Linked DNA regions of Daphnia pulex. The protein of the gene in region 1 purifies or fractionates together with the protein of each later gene. This does not show direct contact. Links are inferred from orthologs where the notes say so. Each region holds a gene or a part of one and is shown in the gene's direction. Other genes may lie near its edges.

What was found.
Region 2: the proteins of 40S ribosomal protein S3-A-like (region 1) and activating signal cointegrator 1 complex subunit 3-like purify together in Homo sapiens (co-immunoprecipitation; 4 studies listed by BioGRID and IntAct, with this or other methods). This does not show direct contact. The link is inferred for Daphnia pulex from reciprocal best matches to the Homo sapiens genes RPS3 and ASCC3.
Region 3: the proteins of 40S ribosomal protein S3-A-like (region 1) and pre-rRNA-processing protein TSR1 homolog purify together in Homo sapiens (co-immunoprecipitation; 4 studies listed by BioGRID and IntAct, with this or other methods). This does not show direct contact. The link is inferred for Daphnia pulex from reciprocal best matches to the Homo sapiens genes RPS3 and TSR1.

What each region holds. Positions count from the first base shown.
Region 1 is NC_060025.1:406,740-413,857, forward strand, and holds 40S ribosomal protein S3-A-like, read left to right. Parts: upstream 1-3,285; 5' UTR 3,286-3,398; coding exon 3,399-3,431; intron 3,432-3,635; coding exon 3,636-3,719; intron 3,720-3,779; coding exon 3,780-4,015; intron 4,016-4,079; coding exon 4,080-4,267; intron 4,268-4,329; coding exon 4,330-4,517; 3' UTR 4,518-4,609; downstream 4,610-7,118. Other genes in the region: general transcription factor IIF subunit 2-like, read left to right, coding at 834-1,027, 1,097-1,248, 1,375-1,461, 1,526-1,650, 1,711-1,854, 1,914-2,030; unextended protein-like, read left to right, coding at 6,822-7,118. UniProt on the Homo sapiens protein: Component of the small ribosomal subunit. The ribosome is a large ribonucleoprotein complex responsible for the synthesis of proteins in the cell. Has endonuclease activity and plays a role in repair of damaged DNA.
Region 2 is NC_060022.1:744,142-752,126, reverse strand, and holds the start of activating signal cointegrator 1 complex subunit 3-like, read left to right. Parts: upstream 1-3,366; 5' UTR 3,367-3,523; intron 3,524-3,585; exon of another isoform or gene 3,586-3,588; 5' UTR 3,589-3,639; coding exon 3,640-3,776; intron 3,777-3,830; coding exon 3,831-4,083; intron 4,084-4,145; coding exon 4,146-4,397; intron 4,398-4,466; coding exon 4,467-4,610; intron 4,611-4,683; coding exon 4,684-4,783; intron 4,784-4,824; exon of another isoform or gene 4,825-4,840; coding exon 4,841-5,027; intron 5,028-5,100; coding exon 5,101-5,213; intron 5,214-5,275; coding exon 5,276-5,505; intron 5,506-5,572; coding exon 5,573-5,692; intron 5,693-5,747; coding exon 5,748-5,940; intron 5,941-6,007; coding exon 6,008-6,417; intron 6,418-6,481; coding exon 6,482-6,615; intron 6,616-6,674; coding exon 6,675-6,782; intron 6,783-6,879; coding exon 6,880-7,779; intron 7,780-7,850; coding exon 7,851-7,985. Other genes in the region: transitional endoplasmic reticulum ATPase, read left to right, coding at 1-102, 171-253, 325-559, 616-749, 820-1,233, 1,299-1,569, 1,641-1,889, 1,994-2,118 and 2 more. UniProt on the Homo sapiens protein: ATPase involved both in DNA repair and rescue of stalled ribosomes. 3'-5' DNA helicase involved in repair of alkylated DNA: promotes DNA unwinding to generate single-stranded substrate needed for ALKBH3, enabling ALKBH3 to process alkylated N3-methylcytosine (3mC) within double-stranded regions.
Region 3 is NC_060018.1:6,276,247-6,284,096, reverse strand, and holds pre-rRNA-processing protein TSR1 homolog, read left to right. Parts: upstream 1-3,231; 5' UTR 3,232-3,406; coding exon 3,407-3,518; intron 3,519-3,585; coding exon 3,586-3,856; intron 3,857-3,922; coding exon 3,923-4,968; intron 4,969-5,034; coding exon 5,035-5,252; intron 5,253-5,327; coding exon 5,328-5,591; intron 5,592-5,654; coding exon 5,655-5,964; intron 5,965-6,020; coding exon 6,021-6,211; 3' UTR 6,212-6,232; downstream 6,233-7,850. Other genes in the region: 3-hydroxyacyl-CoA dehydrogenase type-2-like, read left to right, coding at 1,266-1,274, 1,495-1,551, 1,620-1,727, 1,792-1,876, 1,945-2,234, 2,328-2,546. UniProt on the Homo sapiens protein: Required during maturation of the 40S ribosomal subunit in the nucleolus.

The sequences.
Region 1 (7,118 bases):
AGTGGACGGACATTGTCCCCCCACAAGACATCGCCTTAAGTACCAATCTAGTTGTTATAACTTTCTCGATTTCGTAGAATTGTTTGATTTTGAATCCAGTTACAAGTGGTAATACATATTCCGATCGAATCAGACCAACTAGTACAAAAAGAGGTTTCCCAGTTTCTGCTTTGTTTCAGAGGGCGATTATATACTTGGCCAGGCATTCCGGTGATTTCGTACTTATTAAAATTCCAAACATTCCGAATCACTTCTCACGGGGCGTTATGAAAAATACCACATTATTCCGCGTCTGAAAGTTACACAGATAGACGTCCTGATTTGCAAATTCCTATAAATCTAGAAAGGCAAGAAAATAATAATAATAATAATATTAGGGAATTCATACTGAAACAAATTTGAGATTTGAGCATTGAGATATGCAATCAGGGTTACATTTGAGGAGGAGTAAAAAGCTAAATGAAAAAATGTTGGCCAATCAAACTATTTCCTGTTAAAAGCTTATTAAAGGGATTGTGCAACAACAAATTTGATCAGTTATTTTTTTTAAGGCCATTAAATTTCCATGCCATTTCGATTTTTGGGGGGTTTTATTAAAGAAAAATGCGTTGACGAACTGATGGTTGCGTAAACTTATCTAATAAAACAAAAGAACGCGCTCTGGCGCGATTTATAGCAGACGATAGACTTGAAGACCTTTTCAGTTGTGTGACGTTGTCGATTGAAAGAAGAAACGATTACTTGTTTTATTAAAGCCGGCCAATATTTAGAACTACATTCTCTTGAATAGGTTTTTCTAGTACGTTGAAGCAGAATTTTTAAAACTGAAAACCATGGAGTCAAAGAAAAAGGAGAAAGAAAAAGAGAAAGACAAGGAGAAAGACAAAGATGTCATCGTTTATGAAAGGGAAATGGAAATGTCTTCAGCTAGTCGGGGTGTTTGGTTGGTGAAAGTACCAAAATACATTTCAAGTCGATGGGATAAATGCCCTGGAAATATTACAGCTGGACAACTGAATATTACTAGGTATGCATCAATTGGTTTATGTTAACAAATCGACAAATCCTTTATTAACTCATTACAACTCTTGTTCAGGGTGCAAGGACAAAAGTCTCAAGTCAAACTTATTCTGTCGGAAGCTATTATGTGTCTCCAGGAAAAAGGAGAGGAACCTATTCCTAAAGAGCATGGATTGATTGTTTCACACATTACTTCACAAACATTGGGTGTATTTTCTCAACAAACCAGTACGTACTACTTGACAGTTATGGGGAAGATTTTTATTTTAGGCCTGAGCTTAAAGCATGATATTTAAAGTGGCGTGCTTGCAATTAATCTAATTTAATATTGACATTTTTGTATTGTTTCCCCAGCTCCAGCCACCGCGAACTCACCTATGGAAACTGAGAAGATCATATTTGAAGGCAAAGTTGCCCAGAAGCTTGAATGTAGACCAACAGGTGAGACCAACAAAATAAAGTTCCTAAGCTTGAAGTGAGCATTAATGATTTTTATTTTCATCAGCAAATGCAAGTTACATGAAACTCAAAAGGGATTCTTTGATTAAAGCTGCCCAACCTACAAGAATTGTGAAGCAATTGGATCGAGTGGTTCAAAGTTACAAACCCATCTCTGACCACAAGCATAATGTAAATATAGCAATTCTCGTCTATTTTTGGTACATCATAACCTTTTATTCCTGATTACAGAAAGAATTCGACGAAAAGAAGAAAGCTGAGGGTAAGAAAGCCAGAGATGATAAGGGCAAAGTTATGGACATGCTGTTTGCAGCTTTTGAAAAGCATCAGTACTACAACATCAAGGACTTGGTAAAACTCACCAACCAACCTGTGGTAAGAAAAAGTTGTTTTCATACAAGCATTTGCACTTTTAAAACCCTCTGCTTTTATAGACCTACCTCAAGGAAATTTTGAAGGATGTTTGTGTATACAATTTGAAGAATCCTCACAAAAACATGTGGGAACTGAAACCGGAATACCGCCACTACAAAGATGAAGACAAGGACTAATAAGTAAACAGTCCATTAACTTTCTAATAAAGCTGTGATTTTCAGAAAACTACTAAACAGCTCTTGGATGCACATAACTTCAGATAACTCAAATGGGTTTCAACTGCCCTTGAAATTGTTCGATAAAATGTTCTCTTAGGCTACAATTTTCCCTTCGTCTAAAAATTCCCGTGCTAACAAGTGTGTGGTCCAATACATCGATGCGAACTTGAAAATTTTACCAATATAATTTATCCCAACCATATCAGGAAGAAATGATTTCATGAGCGAGTTCAGTGCGAAAAGTAGGCTTATGTGCTAACGAGGAACCCCTTTTAAACAGAATCGTAAGATTGTAAAAACAAGAATCAAGTAAAAGGTTACATGTTAATATTTACAGCTTTTCATGGTACCCTACTTACAGTTAACATTATATTATCTCAGTCAAAAGCCATAATCTATTAGAATAGCAACAGCCTGTCTCTTGATGAGATTCATCATCCAACCATGATTCAACCAACAATTTAACGCTGAATATAGTTATCTACAAATTAATTTGTTTTAATTTTCACTAGTTACAATTTGCCAGAATGTAATTTTAAAAATTGTTTATTTGTCAATATAGATACTATAAAATACACCAAACAGAATTATTTCACCAGGAAATCTGCAACTTCAGGTAGCGATGTGAGGGTTCCTGTACAACAACAGAATAAGAATTAGCATTTCAACATCATAGAAAACCATTTAAAGCACACTTCAACAAATTATCCACAGTGTGCCTCAGTGCCTTCAACATCAATTACTTTATGTTACTACTATCAAATGTTTTAATTCGGTTCAATCCATGTGTTCCAAATAAGGAGACAACGGTAGATCAGAATAAATTTTAATTTAGCATGTCCGCTTGGCCACTATAAGCTAAGTAGAGCTAGTGTGGTTCAAAGGAATGCAAAATTCAGTCTTAGTTGCATGAATTAAATAAGATATTTACCGAAACGAATACAAAACTGGCTAGCAGCAATCAAACCAGATGGGGGAGCTTCACATGCTTCAAATGGCGTTTTACAGTCCTACTTATAACATTTGATTTCGTCCAACGCTGTTGAATTTCGGACTTCCTGTCGGAGTTGACAGATGGAAAATCTACAATAAAACTTTTGAAATCTTTTAAACAAATATGAACCAATTAAACTTGTTTATAATTTATTATTTCTATAATGATAGTTGAAAAAATTTTAAAAAGCAAACTGAAATAAATTATGTGGGAAGATGAATTCCGAAAGAGGGGGTTGAGAAGGAGGCAATGCTGGGCTTGTCAACTTCGTCTACAGAAAAAGTACTGTGTATTCCTTCTTCCTCTCGTAGACCGGTCTTAAAATACGTGAAATGGCTACGGCTCAGATCTCGAAAAAACGAAAGGCAAGTAATTCTTTCAACACGTGAATCTTTTTCATCTTGTTCTCACATATTCACCGTTTGAATATTGAGGTGTTATTGATGAAATAGAACAGTTTCTAACCAGGATGTGAAAGATTTTGGAGGATAAAATTCGTCTTGGCTTGACATGTTTCTATTGTCAGTGTGCTTGAGTTTACCTAATTTTCTTATAATTTTGTATTACAGTTTGTGGCGGGAGGTGTCTTCAAGGCTGAATTGAACGCCTTCTTGACCCGTGAATTGGCCGAAGATGGTTATTCTGGAGTTGAGGTAATTCTTGTGAAATTATTTTGTTACTGTGTAGATATCTAAAACCCATTTTCCTATTAGGTGCGCCTTGCCCCCACTCGCACAGAAATCATCATTCTGGCTACACGTACCCAGAATGTTTTGGGTGAGAAAGGCCGTCGCATTCGCGAGTTGACATCTGTTGTCCAAAAGAGATTTGGCTTCCAAGAGGGAACTGTTGAGCTCTATGCTGAGAAGGTTGCTACTCGTGGCTTGTGTGCTATTGCCCAAGCTGAGTCCCTGCGCTACAAACTCATTGGTGGTTTGGCTGTTCGCAGGTAAGCTAATTCAATAGGCTGACGTTTAAATAGTGCATTTCTGATGTAATGTGTTGTTACACAGAGCTTGTTATGGTGTTCTCCGTTTCATCATGGAGTCTGGAGCTAAGGGTTGTGAAGTTGTTGTATCTGGCAAACTTCGAGGTCAGCGAGCCAAGAGCATGAAGTTCGTCGATGGTCTGATGATCCACAGTGGAGAACCCACCAACGTCTACGTCGACACTGCCGTCAGACACGTCTTGCTTCGCCAGGGTAATTTATTGTGCATTATATTGACTTGGGAGGAATCTTTCTAATCATCTTTGTTATTGTAGGAGTACTTGGTATTAAGGTTAAGATCATGTTGCCGTGGGATCCCAACAACAAGAACGGACCCAAGAGACCTTTGCCAGACAATGTTTCCATCCTGGAACCTAAAGATGAGACACACATCGCAGAGGAACTTAAAGCAGCCAAGATGTCCGACATCGCAGCAGCACCTCCCACCCAAGCTGCTGCCTAAGGAGTGTTTCGTCTATTTACTGGGCTGGTGTCGATTAACTACCGTAGTTTCCAATATGAAACGAGAGTTAAATACATGCTTTGCCTGGTCAAGGTTGTGTTTTATTTATTATCCTACACCCTACTTTTCTTTTTACGCTCAAATTAAACTTACCAATTAATTTAGGTAATGAAGCAAGTCCAAGAATTGATGTGTAAAAAATCTTAGTAAATTAGAGTAAGGTCTGCGTGAAAAACAAGGTTTTCCAACTACCGCTGTCGGCGTGAGACTTATTTCAGTAAGTGGTTCTGCAATTGAACGTGTCGGTTGCTGAAAATAGTTCTCGTAGAATAATTGTGCACTACATGCCGACAGTGAACTTCAAAATACGGTTCAATGCAGAGCTGCTGCAGTTTGTTAATTTATAATTGTTTTATCGTTATCCATCTCATGAAGAAAAGTTAAAGTGAAATGTTACCGATATTGTCGATGTTGTGGTTACTCGTGTTACTGGAAAGGTAAGAACTTTTCTTTAATTTTCTTAATCTAGTGTATTTAAGAGCTTACGTGAGCATTGACATTTAAGCATTTTCTTGGTGATTCAGGATGAAAGCTAGACATTACTTGATACAATGGGTCGTTAAACAACTTTTAATCCGGGGGTTTCACTAGTGAGGCATTGAACTAAGCATATGGTCTTGTTCTGAAATTATTACTGAACAAAAAAGTAATAATAAGCTTGTCGTTGGCGTGATCACGTGATGACTAGAATGTTGCTCAAGTTGGTTTGATACTGCTTGTTTTTCCCAAGTCAGATATCTGATCTGCAGAGCTCCCCAAGCTATTGAGAACTGTGGCAAGACTAGTGGGCTCTTGGCCAGTGAAAGTTCTTTCTTTTCAACCTGTCTCCCACTACCAAGTTTCTTTTTCGTGTTTATGATGCCAAAAACGTAAAACAGAAACTTCGTGAATCTGGACCCTAATGCATTAATTCGCAGACGAATATTAAAAGAAACTACAGGAATGTTTTCTGTTAGATGACATGGCAATTTTTCGGCTCGTGAATTTAGACGCGCGGCTGTGAAATCGAGCAAATGCAACAAATTGTATTTGAATATTGAAAGAAACTGAACGAATGTTGGATGACAAGGCATTTTTTTTTCTGCTCCGTGACAGAAGAAAAATTATTTGAGATGCACGCGGTCCTATTGTTGTTGCTAACCAAACTTCCCCGGAAAAAATATCCCGATTATAAAATGAGAACATGAGAAATAAGAAGTTATGTCATGTCTGTAATGAATGTAAGTTTTCCTGGCGTACACATAGAGACTTGGTCGTATTGACATAGACATAGAACAACTAATAGTACCGACAACGTGCCAAGAATAAAAATTTGGGGCATAATTTATAGGTGGAATGAAGGGTATTCGTAGCGTATAAAAACTAATCGCCATTTTCTTACATATTAAATTGGAGTCAGCATTGAAAATCGGTTGAATGCATTCCATTTCTTTTTCCAGAACTCGGCTGCTTTTGTTTAAAAGTCACTTGGTGTAATAATTGACCTACATAATCGTTGTAACAGTCTGGTGGCCATATCAAATCAGACATTTGATTTATTGCTCACCGATTCAGAAGATTATGTAGTTGCTTATCGCATTTTATTATCTCAACTCGCTTTAAAAATAATGAAAGTTATTTCGTCAAAAAGTGGCTGAAAATGTTTTCTTACCTGATTCTATTTTAACTATATTTTAATGTCAAACACGTTTCGATGAAGATTAGTAGCCATGAAACGTCAGTTGACTAGTCGGTTAAAGTAACTTTGAGACGCACGTGGTTTTCTAACGATAAGATATTTCCGTCAATATTTATTTTCACACTCATATCAGGTGTGGTTCAACGGGCCAAGGTCTCCTGATTGCCAAGTCTGTCTAGGTAAATGTGGTTATAAGAAGACGTCGTAGTTTCATATTTCTTCGTTCACACATAAATTTCGTGTTGTTTAAAACAAAACAAGAGAAATTGATTTGTCTAGACACTTTTTCATTAATGGTTTAGACAATTCAAGATTGGGTGTATTATATATAGTAACTATGGCGACACACAGCACACTAAATATTTCAAAATGAAAAAGTCTGGTTATTTTTTGCCGCCATTTCGAGTGTGGGTAGTAGTAGCCAGGGCAACGCATTTAGCTTTCGGCTGTGTATAGCCCAGAAATGTCTGCACGCATGCGCGGCCCTCCTTTTCTATATTCCCCCCTCTAGCTGGGCTGGCTGGCTGGCTGGCTAGAGTCTTATCGTAAATACAACGTTGGAGAACATGACGTCGAACGGACGAGTGTATTTCTTTCGCTTCGTCATTTTCTCCATATTATTATTAATCAAGTCGAGTGTAATTGGTGCCGGTCAAGTGCCTGCTGCTGATGGTGATATTCAGTGTTTGTACAAGGAGCCGATTGAAGCCCATTTACACGAGGACGGCCATGGGATATTTCGGATTAAATTGTGCGCTTGTGGTGGTGTCGACGACCTCAACGTGGCCGTCGTGGCCAAATCAGAGGCACTGTGTCACTCGACGGCCGGCATACAGCACCTACAATGGGATCGGAATGCAACT
Region 2 (7,985 bases), on another chromosome or scaffold:
TTGATGTGTACCTGAAGCCATACTTTCTGGAAGCATATCGTCCAATTCATAAAGGCGACATATTTATTGTCCGCGGAGGAATGCGTGCAGTGGAGTTTAAAGGTAATACCAACTTTTGTTTGGTTTTAGCACATCCTTAAGTAATACTGGTTTTTGTACCTAAAAATTAGTGGTTGAAACGGACCCTGTTCCCTATTGCATCGTCGCTCCAGACACAGTCATTCATTGTGAGGGTGAACCAATCAAACGAGAGGTATGAATGATCAATTATTTAAACAAAACAAAATAGATACAGTAAAGTTAAATGGAATTTTATTCATAAAGGAAGAGGAGGAGGCTTTGAATGCTGTCGGTTACGACGACATTGGAGGTGTTCGTAAGCAATTGGCTCTCATTAAAGAGATGGTAGAATTGCCTTTGCGTCATCCCCAGCTTTTCAAAGCGATTGGTGTGAAGCCACCCCGTGGTATTCTACTCTTTGGACCTCCTGGTACCGGTAAAACACTTATCGCTCGTGCTGTAGCCAATGAGACCGGCGCTTTCTTCTACTTGATCAATGGTAAGAAAGATTATTTGCTTTTGATGTTGTTTCAATTAACTGATGAGCGGTTTTAGGTCCTGAAATTATGAGCAAGTTGGCTGGCGAGTCCGAAAGTAATCTACGTAAAGCATTTGAAGAAGCCGAGAAAAACTCACCTGCTATCATCTTCATTGATGAGTTGGACGCTATTGCTCCTAAGCGTGAAAAGGTAAACAAATAATAATACTAGCATTTAAAAAGAAATGGCTTGTTAACAGAAATGTTCGATTTTATTATAGACCCATGGTGAAGTAGAGCGCCGCATCGTCTCCCAGTTGTTGACGCTTATGGATGGCTTGAAACAGCGATCACATGTAATTGTTATGGCTGCCACCAACCGACCCAATTCGATTGATGCTGCCCTTCGTCGATTCGGACGCTTTGATCGCGAAGTTGATATCGGTATTCCAGATGCCACTGGGCGATTGGAAGTCCTGCGTATTCACACCAAGAATATGAAACTGGCCGATGATGTCGATTTGGAACAAGTTGCCGCCGAAACACACGGCCACGTTGGTGCCGATATTGCTGCATTGTGCTCAGAAGCTGCACTCCAACAGATCCGAGAGAAAATGGATCTCATTGACTTGGAAGAGGACCAAATCGACGCTGAAGTCCTGGCATCCCTGGCCGTTACTATGGAGAACTTCCGGGTGTGTTGATTTTGAAATGCGTTAAACATACATACAGCAATTTTCATTCGTGTTTTCATCAACAGTTCGCTATGGGCAAATCAACGCCTAGTGCCTTACGAGAGACCATTGTGGAGGTGCCCAACGTTTCATGGGAAGACATTGGTGGTTTGGAAGGCGTCAAACGCGAGCTTCAAGAGTTGGTCCAATACCCGGTTGAACATCCAGAGAAATTCCTCAAGTTCGGCATGACTCCTTCTCGTGGTGTTCTCTTCTATGGCCCACCCGGTTGCGGTAAAACGCTGTTGGCTAAGGCTATTGCCAACGAGTGCCAGGCCAATTTCATTTCTATCAAAGGTGTGTAAACAAAAAATTTAGATTAATTCAGTTAAAATTTGTTCAATCAAAACTAATTTTATCTCTATTAGGTCCCGAGTTGTTGACCATGTGGTTTGGTGAGTCTGAAGCCAACGTGCGAGACGTTTTCGACAAGGCACGTGCTGCTGCTCCTTGCGTCTTGTTCTTCGACGAACTCGATTCCATTGCTAAAGCTCGTGGTGGAAGCTCTGGTGACGCTGGAGGAGCTGCCGATCGTGTCATCAACCAAGTTTTGACAGAGATGGACGGCATGGGTGCTAAGAAAAACGTCTTTATTATTGGAGCGACGAATCGTCCTGGTAATTTTCTTTTCTTTGTATTTTTGGTCTAACAGTAACATATGCATCTTTTATCAGTTGTTACGCAATGAAATTTACCCATCTGTTTGCTTTTTGAAATTTAGATATCATTGATCCGGCTGTATTACGTCCTGGTCGTTTGGATCAATTGATTTACATCCCACTACCTGATGAGAAGTCACGGGAAGCCATTTTGAAGTCTAATCTTCGAAAGTCCCCTCTTGCTCCGGTAAATAATCTTTGATATAGTCCGTTGGAACCAATCTAAATTGATATCTATTTTTAGGATGTGGATTTGATCTACATGGCTAAAGTTACGCACGGTTTCTCTGGTGCCGATTTGACTGAAATTTGCCAACGTGCATGCAAGTTGGCTATTCGCCAGTCTATCGAAGCCGAAATCAGAAGGGAGAAAGAACGTGCCGCCAATCCTGATATGGATATGGAAATGGAAGAAGAAGATCCAGTTCCCCAGATTCTGAGGTCGCATTTTGAAGATGCCATGAAGTTTGCTCGTCGTTCTGTTTCAGACAACGATATCCGCAAATACGAGATGTTCTCACAGACTTTGCAGCAATCACGTGGTTTTGGCACTAATTTCAGGTAAAAGATAATTCACTGCCAGACTTGCATGAATAATGATAATACTGAATGCATTTTTATTAGATTCCCGAATGCACCAGCTGCAGGTGGCAGTCAGCCTAGCGGAGGATCTGGAGGCAACTTCCAAGATGATGCGGATGATGATCTATATAGTTAAGTAAAATACCTAGGTCGGGATGCTCAGAAACAGCGGGTTGAACCAAGAACGGAGGCTGTTTGATGTCACGCAAATTTTTCCCCATCTTGTTTGTCCGTACGTCTAACCTTTTCGTTCAGTCGATCATTTAAAATCGAATTCATTTGTTTTGATGGAGTCGTCACCTAGCTGATTGGCTTGGAGAAGTTCCAGATTTTTTTATAAACACGAAATTGCCGAACGTACATTCGTGTATTTTGCGAAGCCTCAATAAAAATTCAATCGATATCTTCTACGTTTTTATTCTATACATCTGGGCATTATCATGTGCAATAATAACTTATTGCTCCATGAAACATTGGTGTAAGGGTAAACAATCATTGTTTGGCCTGGTTTGGCACCTTGGCATTAGATACAAATAAAAATCTGCTACTCTTTTAGATAGATAGAACATTTGCTGATGTAATGTTACTATGTAAGACAATGTTAGATACGTACGTATATCCGATTTTTGGACGATTGTTTTATTATGCATTTAAAACAATCGACAATTAATTTTAAATTTTGTGTCGGGATTCTAAATAAAGGTATCGGTATCTTTCCCTATTTTTAATGGCTGTGCCGTGTGAGCAGAATCAGTTTGAATTAAATTGAACCAGCTGGGGCTACGACCACACCACCTAGCGTTGTCACTTGAAAACGAAAGCGAAAAAAACAAAGCAGACGAACCGATTGCTGGAAAGAAGGAATCATTTACCGGTGCCTCTTGTCTTATGTCTTATCGTCCATCCTTGCATTCCCGTAGTCAATTAAATTTGTCAATTACGTATTATAAAATATTTGTGTGTGTTTTTGTAAAGCAGGAAGTTATTCACAAGTTCAATCCTTGGAATCGGTAAAATCAAATATTGCATGCAGTTCGTGAATTAAATTTCAATTGAAATTTTGTTTTCTCAGTAGGGTTAATTAAACCTTAAATGGTGTAATATATTCCATCAATTCACAACTAGAATGAAACCTACTCCTCGTTTATCCAGAGCACTGAGAGCTTTTACAAATCTAGGTTCTCCCACATGTGGTAAATTGACAGAGACATCATCTTGTCATTTAAGTGAGCTTAGGATAAAACATCAGGAAGAAAGCAACAAGTAAGAACTGTGCAATCTTCAAATTGTCTTCTTAAACAAAGTTTTTTTTTACAGGATCACATGGGTGAGTTTGGTTGGGGAATTGGAGAAATCGGGGAAAAATACAGCAGATACCAGAGCACTGCTGAATCCTCTTAGACAGGTTGCCCATAAAATAGTTGGAGATGAGTGTGGGGCACAGGTGGTAGAGGATTGTTCTATTGGTCTACTTTTGTACTTTTTGGAGAAGGAAGATGTCACCTCCAAAAACCTCTCCTCTTTGGGCTTTGGAATAATTGATCTTTCACTCGGAAAAGAAGCACTCAAAGTATTTCAGATTTTATTTTTCGCTATAAAACTTGCTATTTGCTAATCATTTTTAAAAAATAGCACGTAAGAAACTTGGCAAACAAGTTGCCTGAGAATGTGATGAAGTACCTCAAGAATGAAAACCCAGAAGAATGTGTAGCCGAATTTGGCAAAGATGTGAAGATATACCCAGTAGATGAAGTTTCTGTCAGTGGAGTTGAAGTGCTTATAGATTGGGGAAGTCCCACTAGCAATTTTGATGGACTTACAAAAAAAGATATTATTAGTTTCAAATGGGAAGAAGCGAAAACTAATGAGACCAGAGTATATGAGGTATTTGAATGAGTACCATTTATTTTATTATTTTTTGAAAATGAGAAACATTTTTCTCTTTAATCACAGCGCAAAGCCCATGGTCGTGGTTGGCTTGAGCAGCAGCTAGCTCTTTCTAATTGCAATGCTCTCAGTATTCCCATTACGGATCTCGTTGATTCCATCATGAACGTTTTGTGCTCCAGTAAATCGGACGATGAATTACAAACGGAGGTGATATATTCTCCATCGTGCTTTGCAGTGTAAATTCAAATGAATCAAGTTCATTGTGTTGTCTTGGCTTTAGTTCTTTGATTTGCTGGGATTTGAACGATTTGAACTGATACAAGAGCTCTTGGAACATAGGAAGGAAATGAAGAAAGCAGAAAAATCGATTGCCACTCAGGGTAAATCAAAATAATTCACCTCGCCAAAGTACTTTTTATTTAAATGAATTTCTATAGTTGCCATGGCCTCATCCAAACCAAAACCTTATCCTGCTGGCCCCATTATCAGTGGGCAAGTGCTTGTTCAATCTGCCCAGGAAAAGGATTTGATGAAGCAGGTTCGAAGAGAGGAAAAGCGATTTCAGAAGTTACGTCAAGGATACGAGAATGACGTAGAAGAGGCGTCATCGATGAAAATGTTTCAGTAAGTAACTTTATTATAACTACATCGTTCTTGGGCTGTCTATTGTTAATTGATAAAACTTTCTTTCTTGTAGAGAGCAACAGTTGGTCATGGCTTCGACGCTTCCAATTATGAAACATTCCGCTAGTAAAGCAATCAAATATCCCAACGTTTACGATTCAATAGCAGAGGCGAAACAATCTTCATGTATGCTGAATATCATTTAATCCATTTTTAAGATGATTCATTACTTGACCTTTTACTGGTAGCTTTCGTTGGTGGGAAGAAAATGGCGTTGCCAGAGTCTGCGGTGCGTACCAACACCGCAAAATATGAGGAAATCAACATTCCTCTATCAGAACCAGCACCAACTGAAGTAGGAAACCAATTAATCCCCATCGCTTCACTGGATGACATAAGTCGAAAAGCATTCGGCAACTGCAAAAATCTGAACAAGATTCAGAGCGTAGTATTTGAAACCGCTTACCGAACTAATGAAGTAAGAAGGAAAACGCCAGCAAATTCCGCACCACACAGAATTTCATAGAATTATTTTCTATCTTTAGAACATGTTAGTTTGCGCTCCGACCGGAGCCGGTAAAACGAACATTGCTATGTTGACAATTTTGCATCAAATCAAGCAGTACATCACTAACGGAGTCCTTGAAAGAAAAGATCAGTTTAAGGTAAAAGTACATTCACAAATTCTTTTAAAATTTACCCTCACAGTTTTACTTGTAGATTGTGTATGTGGCCCCCATGAAAGCTTTAGCAGCCGAGATGGCAGAGAATTTCGGGAAACGCTTGGCCCCACTGGGTCTGCTAGTGCGTGAGTTGACGGGTGACATGCAGTTGACCAAGGCCGAAATCATGGCCACTCAGATGCTCATCACAACACCCGAAAAGTGGGATGTTATTACCAGGAAAAGCACTGGTTTGTTGAAACTTGACTTTGGTCTCATTTTTCTATGGTCGATAATTGATTTATGTTCTGATTCCAGGTGACATTGCATTGACGCAGTTGGTAAAATTACTAATTATCGACGAAGTTCACTTACTTCACGGCGATCGTGGTCCCGTAGTTGAAGCTCTTGTGGCCCGCACGCTGCGCCAGGTTGAATCGTCCCAGATGATGATTCGAATCTTGGGTCTTTCGGCCACATTGCCCAATTACGTTGACGTAGCGCAATTTCTGCACGTCAATCCATACAAGGGGCTCTTTTACTTTGATTCGCGCTTCCGACCTGTGCCTTTATCTCAAACATTCATCGGTGTGAAGGAGGTTAATCCCATGCGACAAATGCAACAGATGGATTTCGTCTGTTATGATAAGGTCGCCGCCATGGTACAACAGGGACATCAAGTAATGGTTTTTGTCCATGCCCGTAACGCCACTCTAAAGACAGCCCAGGTATCACACCTTGTCAAATGTTTTGTGCAACTTCCTGTTTTAACAATTTGTTTGCATATTTTAGACTTTAAGGATGATCGCGCAGGAAAAAAATCAGCTGCATTTATTCCAGCCAGAAGATAATAGTGGATTCAGCACCGCCATGAGAACGGCAGGGAAATCGAGGAATAGGCATCTTGTCGACTTGTTCAAAGACGGGTGAGTAGGTCCTTGTATTTGTTCTGTTTATGTTTGCTAATATTTTAAATGTCTCGTAGATTCGCAATTCATCACGCCGGAATGCTGAGGGGTGATCGAAACCTTGTGGAGAAAATGTTTGCCGACGGAATGGCGCGAGTCCTGGTTTGCACAGCTACTTTGGCATGGTAAGTGAATTCACTTTTCTTAATTCATAAAATTTGGCATGCCAGGGCAATATTAATCCAAATTCCACAATGATTTCATTCAATTGTGTAAAATTAGGGGTGTAAACTTGCCTGCTCACGCAGTCATCATCAAAGGAACCGAGATCTACGACGCTAAACACGGAGCCTTTGTCGATATCGGCATCTTGGATGTTCTGCAGATCTTTGGTAGAGCTGGTCGACCCCAATTTGACAAATCAGGACACGGAACTATCATCACATCCCACGACAAGTTAGCCCACTACCTCTCGTTGCTGACGTGCCAATATCCCATCGAGAGCAGCTTTGAAAAATCCATGACAGACAACCTAAACGCTGAAATTACGCTCGGAACGGTTGCAAATGTTGACGAAGCCGTCCAGTGGCTAAGTTACACCTACTTGTTCATTCGGATGAGGAAAAACCCTATCGCTTACGGCATCAACCTGGAACAGATATTTGACGATCCCCACTTGGGAGGAAAACGCCGAGAATTGATCGTTATGGCTGCCCGATCCTTGGACAAAGCCCGAATGATCCGCTTCGAAGAAAAGACTGGATTGTTGCACGCCACCGATTTGGGTCGAACCGCTAGCCACTTTTACATCAAATACGACACAGTCGAGATCTTCAACGAGCAAATGCATCAAGCTATGAACGATGCCGAAATTTTCGCTCTCATCTCCATGGCAACTGAGTTTGACCAGCTCAAAGTGCGTGATGACGAGCTGGATGAGCTTGACGATTATCTCCATACTTACTGCGAATTGCCTGTCAGCGGCGGTAGCGAGAATATTCACGGCAAAGTCAACATTTTGATGCAGACTTACGTTTCACGTGGATCCGTCAACTCGTTTAGTTTAATTTCCGATCAGTCATTCATCGCCCAAAATTCGTCTCGTATTGCTCGAGCTCTTTTCGAGATTGTTTTGCGCAAAAATTGGCCATTAATGTCCGGTAGAGTTCTTCGGGTTTCCAAGTAAGATAATTTTACAGGTTATAATTTTCTATTTATAGTTTCCTAACCTAATTTTTATTTCGTCCTACTAGTATGATTGAGCAACGAGTTTGGGACTCGCAGCATCCGTTGCGCCAATTTGGCACTCTCGGTCAAGATATTATCATCAAGTTGGAAGAGAAAAAGTTATCACTTGAACGACTGCGCGAGATGGACAGCAAAGAGAT
Region 3 (7,850 bases), on another chromosome or scaffold:
GTATGTCGGACGTGACTGTTTGATGTGAAAAATGCACAATGATCGAATTCAACGCATTGTAGTAAAACATTTAATGAATAAAAAGAACTGGATTTATTAATTCTTGCGCATTGGTTTTACACGACGAGTAACTAACATGCAGAATTCGAAAAGATTAACAGCGTCGTAAATTTTATTCCAGAAAATATATTTTCTACGGTGTACAAAAATTTGTGATATCACGTTGAAGGTTCGCGGGGTATCGAAGGATAATTAATTCACGCATGGCATATCTGAATCAAGCATACAATAACAAGGCGGCTCGTTGGGAGATTGCCCTTTCATGCAGTGATAACCTGTTCCGCAACTCGGTGAGCACGCTTCCGGTGGGCACAAAAATTTTGCTATTCAAATTGATAAGAATACAGTTAAGAAGAAAACAATGAACAAGTAGGAACTTGCCTGCAATTGGTGTATGTCGACAAAGGGATTTTTGACTGGTAGTCTCCACAGCAATGGCGCTGGCCATTGCAGTCCATATAGAAGTCGCCAAAAGCAAAATCATGCTTGTCATCACTGAGATCTTCATTTTGATCTGTAAGGTTTTCAAATAAAGATTGATAGAGAAAAGTGTGCTGCAAAGAGCCTTTATATGCATCGCAGATGCACACTAAAGTCGGTCGTTCTCGGTCGTTGACTCCGAAATATATAAAAAAAATATGCCAAAAAAATATTGTGTCTTAGCAAATATGCAGGTATTCATCTCTTTATGTGACCGATGTGACCGTTATTCTTGGATTTAAGGTAGGCTAAAGATGTGGTTGGTGTCGGTCTTTTCCTTAGCAAGTTTTGAGACAAGATATTTTTTTTTTCTAGCCAAGGGTGAAAGGCAGGCGCAAAAACATGTCGTAAACTGCCAAAGTTTCCATGGGGAGAAAGTGAATCCCTAAGGAATATTATTTTCAAGAATTTCAAATTTACCGATGTTAACTGACAGCTGTTAATCCCAATGGAATGGGGTGGGACACTAAGCTAAGGATTATTCTACATTTATAGCTCATTTTTAACTTATACCTGCAACCTGCATCTATCCAAATCGAAGGGATGACAACAAGACCACTTTTTCGTCTTTTCAAAGGGAAATCCATTTTTGTTAAATGTCAACGTCTAACTTTCGTAAGGTCGTCTGCTGCCGTACTCGGATCCTTCTCTTGCTGTCTTGCATATCGCGAGGAACAGGCAAAAGGACTCGTGTTTAAATCGCAAAATAAAATTCGTTTGATAAAATGTTGAAAGTAAGTTAAATAACATTGCATTTGTATATGGAATGGAAAATTAAATGCTGTAAAGTAAATATTAAAACAATTTTTTTTCAAATTATGTCAAGAACCCTATATAGTTTTGAGTTTCTGATGTGTATTTATATTACATGTCCGGTTTTCGTTATATGTTTCCCTTTATCGTCACAGAAGACAAATATGGATTTGGAGTAATTGAAACACTTGATTTTAATAGGGAGCTGTTGCCTTGGTGACTGGTGGAGCTTCTGGCTTGGGCCGGGCAACTGTTGAGGTATATCAGAACTGGTTTTCTTGTGAATTTACTATCCAGCCTTGATGTATAATTGTATCATTTGATAGAGAATTGTCCGACAAGGTGGAAGGGTAGTCTTATGTGATCTACCAACTTCTAAAGGACAACAAGTAGCTGCTGGCATGTCAGAAAATGTTATATTTGCCCCAACAGATGTAAAGATAATGTTTAAGAAGTAAAACATAATGTTCAACTAATAACATGTGATGTTCCTAATAGGTTTCTTCTGAGAAAGATGTAATGAATGCTCTTTCCATGTCAAAAGAAAAATTTGGAAAACTTGATGTTGCAGTAAACTGTGCAGGTAATTTTCATTAAATTTAAAAGAATTTCTGTTTGAATAAAAGTTTAATAGCTTGTTTATTTATTAAGGAATTGGAGTTGCTTTCAAAACATACAATTTTAACAAAAATCTTCCACACAAACTAGAAGACTTCATTAAAGTTTTGATGGTAAACACCGTGGGAACTTTCAATGTTATTCGCCTTTCGGCAGGATTAATGGGCGAAAATCAGCCCAACGAAGACGGTCAAAGAGGAGTGATAGTCAATACTGCATCTGTAGCTGCTTACGATGGTCAGATGGGTCAAGCCGCCTATTCTGCAAGCAAAGGAGCAATTGTTGGAATGACTCTACCGATTGCGAGAGATCTGTCGTCCCAGGTAATTTAATAAAACTAATTAACTGGAGGTGTAGAGATAAAATGGCTCAAGTTAAAACTGGTTACAATGTTAACTAATTATTATCATTTCTAGGGTATCAGGGTTTGTACCATTGCACCAGGATTGTTTAAAACTCCTTTGCTCGAGTCTTTACCTGAAAAAGTGCAGTCATATTTGGCAAAGACCGTACCATTTCCGCAACGTCTGGGTAAGCCAGATGAGTATGCAATGATGGTTGAATCAATTATACTCAACCCAATGATGAACGGAGAAGTGGTTCGTGTTGATGGCGCTATCCGCATGCAACCGTAAAAAAATCCAATCATTTAAAAACTAAACCAGAGTAAACAGTAATAAGTTATTGTTGTAATTTGCAATGTTCAATGGCTTATTCTTTAGTAAAGAGCTTTCGTGAGATAATACAAATCTTTATATTATTATTTTGTATTGAACGAACTTTTTTCGTGAATTGCTTCCAACTTTTGGAACTTTGTTGAGACATTTTTTTTTTATATGGTCACTTCAGTTTTCTAATTTAATTTAATGTTTAATCGGGTTTGGAGATATTCTACCAGAGAGGACGATTGGAGAAACGATACTTAACTGCTTGGGAATACAACTGTATAAATTAAAAATATGCAACCTGCTGCAGCGATAAAATTGATAAAAATCCTGACTTCTAAGGAGGGACAATAGCATTTACTGGTAGAGGAAAAATGGCGCCTCTGACTGGACAAAAAGATCACAAGATAATGAAAAGGGACTAAGGAACACTTAACGTGCGCTGGGCATGGCCGCTGACCCGCTGCGGCTGCCCGTTTGGACAGCGTGTCAGCTCAGCACCGCATGCGGACTTGCGGTACACGTAGTTACAACACAATATAGTAATATTATATGTATTACAATAACATGAATATATATATATTAAGTTATTAACATATAATATTATTCGCACGCGTTAATAACTTGCGGACTAACAAGATGTAGCATGTAGTAGCATGTAGTAGGGCAACTTCAAATTGTTCGTTTACGACTTTTGCAAGATTTAGCGTCGTCTGCACTGAAATATTGTGCCGTCCGCGAACTCCACGTGTGTAAAACGTCTATAGTACCAAGTGAACGGTTACATTTTCTTTTACTATATTAAGTAATTAACAGTAGTAAATAGTGGGATGGCAGGAGGTGAACAGGCTTCACATCGACCCGGTCTTCTAAAACAGCAAAATAAATCTCATAAAAATGGGAGACATCGCAGCAAAAGTGAAATTGACAAGAACAACAAAGGTAAGCAAATATTTGTATTTTATTTTACTGGCGTCATTTTCAAACTAACTTAGTGTGGTAATTCTAGGACGAGTTCATGTCAAATTAGCATCAAAAAGGAAAAATCAAGAACTAAAGCGGGATGAAAGAAGAAGGAAAGCAAATCAGATAAGGTCAAAGAAACGAGAAGATGTCCTGGCTAAAAAGAGGGCAATAGGTGGGAATGATTCAGCTCCTTTTCTGTCTGCAATAATCCCACTAGGAGAATCAGCAAACATTCAAAAGTTGTTGAAACAAATCAAAGAGTGTGATGCTGATGCAAAAGTGGAAATGACTGGCTCCAATGTAATAAACATCAAGTAAAGTGCCTATAGATATATATATACATATATTTGTATGTTGCTAATTTCTTTCTTGTTTTTCAGTGTGCCACGTTTTCGGCAGAACTTCAGTTTGATAGTGCCTCGTCCTGGAGATCTATATGCAGCACTAGATGCTTGCAAAGTTGTTGATAATGTTGTATTCATAATATCACCTCCTTCTGACACTGACAGCTGTATGTCTCATTCAACAAGTAATGAAGGGCCTTTGGGTTTTGACAGCAGTGGTGAAGAGTTGTTGTCTGCCATCATGGCACAGGGGCTTCCTTCTCCAATTTTTGTTGTTAATGACATTGAGACCATTTCATTGAAGAAACGAAATGATTACAAGAAGCTTCTTATGAAACAGCTGGATCAGATGGTGCCATTAGAGAAGCTTCAAGTGATTGAAAATGAAAGTGATGCTCTCAGACTGTTGCATCACATTGGGTCCCAGAAACAGCGACCTATCTATCAAAGAAATATGAGATGCCATTTTCTTTGTGAAGAAGTGAACTTCAAGCAAAATTCTGATGATCCTACAGTCGGAAGTTTGATTGTCGATGGATACGTACGCTACCAACCCTTAAACGTGAATGGATTAGTCCACATACCTGGATGGGGAGACTTTCAAATGGAGCGAATCGAAGTCAGGAGGGAACCCGGAGAATTTATTTTCCTGGAAGAGGCCAATCCCGCTCTTCAAGAATCACTGAAATCCGAAAATGATCCTGATCCTATGAACGGTGAGCAGACTTGGCCTTACCAAGAAGAAATGGAAGGCCAAACTATGGAAGCGGACAAAATTGAAGATGATGAAGAATCGGAAAAAAAGAAACGAGTACCAAAAGGAACATCAGAGTATCAAGCCGCTTGGATCAAAGACGAGGGCGATGATAAAAACGAAGAAAACGATGAAGAAGAAGAGGATGATAGTGACGATTGGGAAGATGATTACGAAGAAATGTCTGGAGATGATGGAAGTGAAGAATCACAAGAAGAAGCTGAAGAGGATGAAATGGAATCAGTAGACAACGAAGGTGGAGACACGGATGTGTACGATAAAAAAGTTAAATTTGCAGATGAAGAAGAAGAATTTAAAAAAATTAAGGGTATGTTTTTTTTTCTAAATTAACCATGATTCCATCAATTCCAACAAAAATGTGTTGACTTTACAGAAGCTCGTGAGGATGAACTTTTCCCTGACGAAGTGGATACGCCACGCGACACATTGGCTAAGGTACGCTTTCAAAAGTATCGTGGTTTGAAATCCTTTCGTACATCACCTTGGGATGCCAAAGAAAATCTACCCATGGATTATTCCAGAACTTTTCAGTTCCAAAATTTTCCGCGGACTCGAAAGCGAATCTTGAAAGAAGAACGAACTGGAGCAAAGGTATTGTGACTTTTATTTTTCTTATGCGGTTCAATTTGATAAAAACTTGAATGCTCTAAAATTACATTTTCTTAGCCCGGATGGTACGTGAGAGTTCACGTTAAGAACGTGCCCAGCCATTTACCAGCGAGTCTCCAATCCGGCTACCCATTGACATTAGTTGGCATGTTGCCTCACGAACAGAGAATGAGTGTGGTTAATCTTGTTCTTAAGAGGTTCAAAAATGCACGGGATCAGCAAGCGATTCCGTCAAAAGAGCGACTGATCTTTCATTGCGGTTATCGGCGGTATGCTGCTGCTCCCATTTTTAGTCAGCACACTGCAGCCAACAAGCATAAGGTAATGTTTATCTTTTATCTAATTTTTGTATGTACTGTTCATCAAGGAGTTTTCTTTGTTCAGTATGAGCGCTTCTTTCGGCCAGAATCAGTTGTAGTAGCAACTCTTTACGCGCCAATTATCTTTCCATCTGCCTCAGTCTTGGTATTTCGGGAAAAGAAGGACGGAACTCAAGTAATGATAGCGACTGGATCGGTTTTATCAGTAAATCCTGATCGCATTACAGTTAAACGTGCCGTTTTGAGTGGAGCACCATTTAAAGTTCACCGCAAATCTGCTGTCCTGCGTTTTATGTTCTTCAACCGTGAGGACATCGAATGGTTCAAACCAGTTGAATTAAGAACGAAATATGGTCGACGAGGTCACATCCGAGGTTTGCATAGATGATAACTTTCTTTTTACTATAGTTATAAACTTTTTAAATTTCAGAACCACTTGGAACGCACGGACACATGAAATGTGTATTTGATGGCCAAATCAAATCCCAGGACACAGTAATGATGAATCTTTATAAACGCGTGTTCCCTAAGTGGAGCTTCGATCCTAACGTAGCGTCTCCATCTCCTTTGTATAATCATGAAGTAGAAATGGAAGATGCTGCCAATCAATTAATGGTATAAATAAAATTTGATTGGACCTTGTCCATATTTTCTTCTGTTTTTCAATGTTGGTTAGTTTCTAAACCTTCTGTCTTATGATTAGTCTTATGATCGTTTAACACTTGTTTAAAGTTACTAATTGCTCGATAGGTTTCAAATGAGCCAATTTTGCTAGTTTTTGTTACATGCTTGAGAATTAATTTCACTTTAGGAAATACTCTGAGTGATGGGACAAAATCTAATTTTTCTCATCTACAAACAATTTTCTAAAACAATAATGGAAGCAATAATGGAAGTTTTTGCAGTTTGTGTCATATTCTGTAGTTTCTGCGCTATGCGCTACTACCGTTTATTAGAAACATGGATGATTTCGAAGTTATTGGCTCCATCTAGTGTATTGTAGAGGTTGCACGGAAAGGGTAAAAAGTAGCGACGGTCAGTCGACATTGAACGATCGGTTAGACCCAATGTAGCACAATTTAAAAGTCGGGATCAGTCTTGGATTTGCTGTATGCCGTTCAGCTTCTAGAATACACATGTGTATTCTGGGTTGAATCCGATGCACATGTCTATTGAGAAAGTTCAAAGGCATACAGCAAATCCAAGACTGATCCCGACTGTTAAGTTGCATCCATTTATAGTCACTGCCCGAGTCTAACTGATCCCTATTGTGGCGCGTCGTCACCAGGAAAAGTAGAAACAGTCATCTGACCGTCGCTGCTCTTTACCCTTCCCGGATGGTGTCCGGTCGCTGTTTCCGCTACAATACCATTAAAGCGCTAGTCTGAGTCCTTTGGCAATTTCCTAATTAGTTTCTTGTATACTAGCTATATGCTAGGTGTAATAAGAATTTCGTTTTTTAAATGGTCACAAGGATTCTTTGTCATATACTGTAAGAGAAAATTCATTCCGCATCAGGTGGTTGAGTTGCATAAATTGGAAACACCCCTTTACTTTCCCCGAAAGTACGTCTACTCGTTGTCTCGTTGATTGCCTGATGCTCTCAAAATAAAAAAACACTAACTATTAAACATTTATTTCAAGCAATCTGAATTTTGAGCTGTTATGATTTTGTCTGTGTCGGGTTGGTTCGAATATTTGAAAGAAGAGAATGAGGGAAAAGAAAACTAGAGAAAGATGTAAGGCTAAGACGGCAGGTATCATGAAAAAAAAGAGGAAGATAATCATATTGGCCTCAAACAGTAACAGAATACCCTAAATTTTGACATTTTATTTTTAAATTAAATACAGATTTAAACACATTTAAAAAAGAAGATCAGTTCTAGAAGACAACTCACGCGCGCAGAAAGGGATGGAATTAGATACGTAGATGGGTAGACATTTTGGCACGTTGAACAATTAAAAATGTGGTTCAAGAATCATAAAAAAATTTAATAAATAAATAAAGCAAGCTCCTCCACAGAGAAAATGAAAGAAGGAAGTTGGACAAATTTTTATGATTGAAACTGTTATTTAGTAGTGGTTAAAAAAACTTTCCTATAATAACATCTTTGATAACATCGCTGAATTAATTCAATTGAAATATCGTACGTGCGTATTGCACCTTTCAATGCAAAATTAGTTTGTCGATTGTTTTAATCATTTTTGAACCAGATTTTCTAGATCTATTTTCATTTGTTGATTTTATATATTTCTTAAA